2 linked regions of the Mus musculus genome follow. Each later gene encodes a partner of the first gene's protein in a complex. Links are inferred from orthologs where the notes say so. Each region holds a gene or a part of one and is shown in the gene's direction. Other genes may lie near its edges.

Evidence for each region. Proteins that work in one complex are often made in the same cells at the same time.
Region 2: the proteins of Ywhaz (region 1) and Mapt are in contact, whole or in part, in a crystal structure (PDB 8QDV), measured with the Homo sapiens proteins. The link is inferred for Mus musculus from reciprocal best matches to the Homo sapiens genes YWHAZ and MAPT. Residues at the interface, in NP_001129171.1 of Homo sapiens: Glu14, Leu43, Ser45, Val46, Lys49, Arg56, Arg60, Lys120, Arg127, Tyr128, Glu131, Gly169, Leu172, Asn173, Val176, Glu180, Ile217, Leu220, Asn224; in NP_058519.3 of Homo sapiens: Ser637, Cys639, Gly640, Ser641, Leu642, Asn644, Ile645, His646, His647.

What each region holds. Positions count from the first base shown.
Region 1 is NC_000081.6:36,791,991-36,795,736, reverse strand, and holds the start of Ywhaz (14-3-3 protein zeta/delta), read left to right. Parts: upstream 1-1,198; 5' UTR 1,199-1,592; exon of another isoform or gene 1,593-1,817; intron 1,818-2,058; exon of another isoform or gene 2,059-2,061; 5' UTR 2,062-2,258; intron 2,259-3,746.
Region 2 is NC_000077.6:104,304,295-104,307,940, forward strand, and holds part of Mapt (microtubule-associated protein tau), read left to right. Parts: intron 1-2,331; coding exon 2,332-2,464; intron 2,465-3,646. UniProt on the Homo sapiens protein: Promotes microtubule assembly and stability, and might be involved in the establishment and maintenance of neuronal polarity.

The sequences.
Region 1 (3,746 bases):
ACCAGGGACAGCTACCACCCTTATTGTTCCCAAAATGTAATTACAGTAAACTACATGGAGAAAACACACATGCATTCCTCAGCCACAGATGGTAGTACTTTTATTGCTGATATTTTACTACTGTGCCTATCAAAGTATAGCGGAGACATCAACTGCATGAAGTAAGACCCAAGTAAAGAAGACAGGAAGACAATTGGGCAGCTAATCAAACTCACCAGTAACTTCCCCATACTTCAGGCCTATAGGCTCTGGGTTTTGGCTTTGCTACATATTATTCTTTAGAATTCTTCTCAGTTGACCTTCCATGGCAAATCTAATTCTGGCCCCCTTGCAGCCTTATTATGCCTTTATTAGGCAAACATGTTGATTGGAGTTTGTAAAAACTAAAAGCACCTTTTGGTTTATTAAAACACAAAGAAACCTTGCTAGTTAATGCACAAGGCAAAAGCCCAAACTATTTTCCAAAACAAGTCTGCAATTTATGCAGAGAAATCTCTTAACTTTCCCTGAGGTGTATATTCCATATAGACGTGTATTACAGACATTAACAGACATTTCCATTTTACAAAAGATTTAACCTAGTATCTTCTGTCAAATTTCTAGCACCTACTACAAAACTGCAAACATAAAAGCTTTTGAAATAGTCATTTTAAGTGAGTCACTCCCTGAAAGAATTTACATTACAGCCAAAGTAAGTTGACTTCAGTATCTTGGAGATAAAACCTGAATTAATTTGCTCATCTGCTTAGCATGTTATCTGTTGCTGTGGAAACCGGTGTGTGTGTTGGGAGGGGGGAGGGCGGTTGGCGAGGGGAGCGACACTGAACTGGTCACAGGCAAATCTCTACCTAGCTGTCATTTCAGGCAAATTATAATTTGTACAACAAACTTGTGATTCAAACAATGTAACCAACATTCTGATGAAAGACAGTGGTAGGGAAAGAATGCTTGTCATGAAGTCTTCCAGGGGGCTCTGGGGCTGAATTCCTGAGGTTCTTTTTCCAGTTGTGCTTAGTGTAGGCCCCAGAAGGGGCTCAGTGAAAATATTTTAGCTCAGAGGCGCACATTTAAAGAGAGCAAGGACAGATTCTTCATAGAGACTGCATCTCCTTTCAACTTCCGTCTCCTGGGTGGAGACCTTGCGGGTTCAGGCACCTGCAATTTCCGCCCTTTTCCTCCCCCCCCCCCCTTTCCGGGCGGAGGAGCCTCGCTCCTCCTCCAGCTAGAGCCCTAGGAACGGCCACGCTCCCTAACCTTGCTTCCAGGACCTAAAAGGGTCGGTCACTCTCTTACAATGCGCTAATTAGGAACAATGTGTCTCCCAATGAAAGCTCTACAGAGGGTAAAGTGCAGCCCACGACAACAGTTCGGTGTGTTCTAGCCTGTTTCCCCGCCTCGCCCCACGTCAGGCTTCTACGATCACGTCCAACCCGCTAGCCCAACCCTTTCCCCGCTCCTCCCAGCGACCACCCATTGTCCCCGCGGCTGTCACGGTGTGGACGCCGAGCTCGCGACTGGAAAGGCAGGGCGTCATTCAGCCTCGCGCTTTTCCCAGCCTTAAAAGGTCTAAGGCCGCTTCCTGCAGCCAGAAGGTAAAGCGGGCCGCCCGAGGGAGCAGCCGCGCCCGGGCCTCCCTGCCCCGGCGTTGGCGGAGCCGCTGCCCTACTCTCGGCTTCTGATCACAATGCCCTGGCAGTAGAGCTGCCTTCACCCTGCCCCGCAACCCGCCCACCGCCATTACCGGCGCAGAGAGAGGGCGGCCGAGCGGGAAGGGGGTGGGGGGGAACGCGAAGGTCCCGGATGTGCCCGCCAGTGAGGTGGGGGCGGGGAGAGGCTTCCTTCCGCGGGCCGCAGGGGCGGGGAGGGAGGGCAGCTCGCGGGGGCGGCGGGGAGCGAACCGAGCACGCGGGTGAAGGCAGGGTCGGGAGCGGAGCGGAGCGCGAGTACGCGCTCTCCTCCGCTCGCCCTCGGGCACGGGCGGGCCGGCCGGGCGCGCGCAGGGGAGCGGCGGTTGCGCCGGGCCGGAGAACTGTGGGCACCAATCAACGGTTGCCATAGCAGCGTTTGACGTCATCGTGCGTGTGGTGCCCCTGCTGCCGGGGCTAGTGATTGGAGGAAACCCCGTGTCTGCGGAGCGGCTGTAGCCTGTGAGCAGCCAGATCAGGGACAGAGTCTCAGCCTCGCCGCCACCGCTGCTGCCGCCGCCGCCCAGAGACCGCCGAGCCGCGTCCGTGTGCCGCCACCCACTCCGGACACAGGTGAGGAGCCGCCCGAGTCGGCCTCCGGTCCCTTCAGCCCGCCGCCGCGCTGCGGCCCGAGAGGGGTCTTCTCAGGAGGACCCGGGCGGCGGCTCGGCTCTGCCGGGCCCGGGCAGGCGCCCACCGCCGCCCCCGGCCGCTTGCTTCTGGCCTGCCGGGCTGCTCATCGCCCCGTTCTGGTCCCCGGGGTGGGGGTGGCGGATGAGGCGCCCACGCGCGAGACCCAGGGGCTCCCGCTCCCGAGGGCGACCGCGATCCGCCCCCGCCGGCACCCTGCTTCCGCCCGCGACTGTGACTCGGCCGTGGCGCAGGTGAGGCCGCCCCCACCCGGGGCGCCCCCGCCACCCCCTCCCCCACGGCGGGGGGCAGCCAGGTAGCACGCGGGGCTCTGGGGTGGGGCCCGCCAGGGACCCTGGGCTGGGCTCGCTGGGGCCCGCAATGCCAGAAAGGACTCTCGGGACGCGCGGTGGGGGAGGGGCGCGGCCAGAGCTAGGCGTGGGGGTACCGGGGCACGGGGTCCCCAGCGTCCTGGGCTGGTGGGAGGTTCGCATCTTTCCAGGAGCTGCGGCCCCAGGATGGGGGCTGCGCCTGTCTGGGTGGGGCCCTGCCCCTCCCCCTACCGCAGCTGTCGGGACATCGGGGCTTGGGTCGGACACCGGCGGAGGGGACCCTGGGCGGGAGCGGGGTGTGTCCGGCGCGGGCCGGCCGCGGTTCCGCTTCTGCGGGCGCGGATGGCATCGGGCCCCCGGGGAGGGTGATCTGCTCCCCCTCCACCACCACCCTCCGACTGGGGCGGGTGCACGGACTGCTCCTCCCTCTGCCCGGGTGGGGGGGCGATTCACAGTCGGAGTAGGTTGGGCTCCTTGACACAGTTCCGCCATGACAAAGAGAGTCGGGGACTAGCGCGGAGGCACCAGCCTGGGCGGAGCCAAGGAGGGGAGGTGGCTGCGGATGGCGCGGACGCAAGGACTAGCGCTTTAAAGTCACCGCTGCGCGGTTTCGGTTCGCCCCACCCTCCGGCCTCAGGCAGCCAAGGGTTAAGTGGGTGCGGCGAGTATTCCCGCAGTCTGAAGGCGAGGCCCAGGAGCGCTCGTTTTCCTGTGAGAAACCTAATCCACTTCCCCTTATCCGGGAGGTTGGCGGGGGAACGTTTGTACTGACTTAGGCTTACATCATTTTTGGAAGCAACATTTACCAGTGACCGTTTCTAATGTTAGATTTCGAGACCCCGGGGGAAGTATGGGTTCACAAATTTTAAATAGTTAATGCACGGAAGGTACTGTGTCTCGAATTTAAGCTAGCCCTATCCGTGTTTCTGTTCTGGACACTGCTCATTTGGCTACCAAAAAGAGGTCCTTTCTGGAAAGGTAAAGGAAAGAATTTCCATGGTGGGCGGCAGTGACTCTTTATTCCTACACTTAGTGCATTCAGGTTGTGACTTTTCATTAAAGTGTATTTTGTGGGATCACTATATGATTTAGAATTTTG
Region 2 (3,646 bases), on another chromosome or scaffold:
TTCCCAGTCAGAGTGCGCAGAGGCAGCCATGATGTCAGCTGTCAGCCTTCTGGCTAGATCCTTCTCGGAAGACATCCAGCCACATAGACACCAATTTCCTTAGGTAGAATGTTCTGAGGTTAATTTTGACCAGACCAAGATTCCATCAATGGCGTTAATTAGATTTGAGTCTTTGTTTAATCAGAAAGTATGTGTGTCTATGCATGTGCATATGTGTGTGCATTCATGCATACGTGTGTGTGTGTGTGTGTGTGTGTGTGTGCATGCGCGCGTGTGCATGTGAGCACATGTGTATGTATGTGTGTGTCTGTCTGTCTGTCTGTCTGTCAGTCCTTGGTGACATCTGACAGAAGCTTTTGGTTGACTCTGGCACAATCCTCCTTGAAGTATTAGGGTTTGGCTTTTTGGTGTTTTTTGGGCATAGTAGAGCGAGAGGGTAGGGTGTTAGTGAGCCTGCATAAGTGCTTCTCCTGAGGTTGAGCCTCTGACCCACGTCACAGTAACATTCTTTCTTGAGAAAATCTTGCTGCCTCTTTTCTGGCGGTCTCCACCTGCTTTACTAAGTGGGAAACACCTTTAGGCCAGCACTCTCCAAGTCGGACCTACAACAAGGTCCAATTGCTAAGGAAAGAACGTAGCCGCACGTCTGCCTGTGCTTCAACCTCCCTCTTACAAGTCCTACGCCATGTCACTTTCAGTCATGCCCATCCCACATCAGCTGTGTAGCATGCGCGTAGCTGATGGGTGCCCAAGAGGGCAGAGTTGCCGTCCTTTCTTACTGGAAGGGCGGTGGAGAGGGCTGCTTTGAGCTGTGACTCGCCTTCTTTGTGTTGAGATTTTGTTTATCCTTTTCTCCATTTGTTTCCATTCCCCGTGTGCTGACTTTCATTTTGATTTTATTTATGTTTATGTTTAAGACATCCACACCTTCCTGTGCTAAAGCCCCGAGCCATAGGCCCTGCCTTAGCCCCACACGCCCCACTCTTGGTAGCTCAGACCCTTTGATCAAACCCTCCAGCCCTGCCGTGTGCCCTGAACCAGCCACCTCTCCTAAACACGTCTCTTCTGTCACACCCCGAAATGGCAGTCCTGGAACAAAGCAGATGAAACTCAAGGTAAGGAAACCAACTTTGGCGAGACCCAGGCTGCTGTACCGTGGTGTTCAAATGCTTTCTTCAGCTAAACTCACAGGCAGTGCTACATGGTTGAAGGACCAGGGAAGGCACTGGGGACTCGGAGCCCTGCTTTGTGCCTCCCTCTTCCCTGGAGATAGAAGTCCCTGATAACCAGGGGATCCGAGTTTGTAAATTAGGGCTCTGAGCTGAGCATGGTAACTGATGCCTATAACCAATCCCGGCACTGAGCATGATTTCCGTAAGTCAGAAGCTAGCTTGAGCTATACAGTGAGCTCCAGGCTAGCCTGGGCTACAGTGTGAGTGAGGTTCTAGCTTGAGAAATAAAGAAAGAAACCAGGTGTGGTAGTGCTCATAATCCCAGCACCCTGGAGTAAGAGGCAGGAGGCTCACCGCAATTGCCTAGATGGCCAGTAATATGTAGAAAGTCTCTTCCTCTTAAAAATGAATAGATGAATAAGTACATGATAAAGAAAGTCTCAGCTCCACCTAGAATTCTTACGGTAACTGGCCACGCCTCGTGGTGGGTGGCGTGTCCTCCAGTTGCACCCATTCATCCCGACAGTCCCTTCTCTCCTCCCTTCCTCCCGAGTCTGTGGTTTCTTTATGTAGCTCATGCCATGTCTGATGGTCATCTACTGACCATGAGACCCATAGCCACTCACAGTCTGCTGGCTGGCTGTGTTTGCTCTGCCTCAAGCTCCCAGCTTTCAGCCATTGTTCATGGCCGAGTCCCCAGGGGCTGTGGAGAGAGCCGAAAAAGACATGGTTTGGCCGTCTGTGAGTTCTTCTGAGGCCTGAAGCACATGTGGGTCTTCAGTGGCCTCTGTTGAACCCAGTCTCCGTCAGTCAGTTACATCTATACTTAAGAGTCTGAAAAATGGGTGTCCATCCACCAGGTGTGGTCTTCCAGGGTCAGCCTACTGATCTACCCTGACCCTGATCTTGCTTCAAGCAGTCCTGTCATTTTATAACACAGGCTAGCTCACCATGCGTCTAAGAAGATCCTGGTACTTGACATGCAGGTGAACTGTGGGGCTGTGTGCTCCACAAGCCCTCAAGACTTGTACAAGGCCTTCTCAGCATCTGTCTCCACCATCACCCTCTTCAGTCAAGGTGGGAGGATGGGGCTGACTTTTCCTTGGTGGCGGTCACCTTTCCCAGTGGTGAAAACCTTCCACCCTGATTCGGTTTACAGGGCGCTGATGGCAAAACCGGGGCGAAGATCGCCACACCTCGGGGAGCAGCCTCTCCGGCCCAGAAGGGCACGTCCAACGCCACCAGGATCCCGGCCAAGACCACGCCCAGCCCTAAGACTCCTCCAGGGTCAGGTGAGACTACTCTCTGGAGTTTTAATCCAGAAGCTTCCAGAAGGTACAACCCTTGCCTCAGGAGGCCACTGACAATTCGTAACCCCTGGCACCTACTAACCCTTGTGGTTTGTCTTCTTTTTAATCCTTTGACAATTGTCTGAGGTAGCTAGTGAGTCCTTGCCTTTTAATTGGTGAAGAGATCTTGCTCATTTTTCAAGCATGAGGAAAATGCAGTCACGTGATTAATAAATTGGAGAAAGGAGCATGGCCTCTAATCCATGGCTCTGGGGAGGCAGCCCCAGCATAAAGTGTTATCAGGTCCCCTACCTCTTTGGAGGATCAGTAGTCTGGGCGGGAAACCGTGGGGGAATCTCCAACATCTCAATGTCACGCAGCTGGGTTGTTAGGAACCTTCTAGTAAAGCTCAAGGGTCATAGCTGAGTGATGGCGTGCTACGGTCATTACTCCAGTCTCCTGTGAATAAAAGCCAGTTGGCATTAAGAACCTGGCCAGGCTACAGTGGGGCTGTTTCACGTCTAATAGAGATACCAGGAATAGAAGCCCTGAGGACCTGCTCCCAGAAGGGTTTTTGGATGCCTTGTGACTCTGTTGCCTGGCCTGCATTGCTCCCTGGTAATACCCAGGAGGCCTGTGGGCCCCTGTGTCTAGCCTGGCTCTTAGTGTCCCTGTTCTCTTGGCAGAGGCAGCCCGTATTGCCTGCTGCATGCTTCTGGTATTGTAAAGGGTGTTGCCTGAGAATTGGCTGTGTTTTCCCTAAGCAGCTGTGGTTCTGGTGTGTGTGTGTGTGTGTGTGTGTGTGTGTGTGTGTGTGTTTCTCATACACTGATGGTCTAGGAGCATTAATGATGTGCTAAGTGGGGTTCAGTTGTGGCACTTCACCCTTAACGCCTTGCTGGTCTCACTCCCACAATAGCCTGGAGCAGGGGCTCTTCCAGGCTCACCTGTGCTTAGGTGGCTCCGTGCTGATTGGCTACATCTTCCTTACTGGTCCCAGCATCTGTCCCTGCTTGTCTCTTATGCTAGGCAGACCAGCCAGCTGCTGTCACCTGAAGTACTCAGAGAGACTCCTGTGAACCTGATTATAATGAGGCTGTCTGTGGATTTTTTTTTCTTTTTAAGCTTCCAAGCAACCGCAGAGAAAACTACCCCCTGCAGGGGCAAAATCTGAGAGAGGTAACT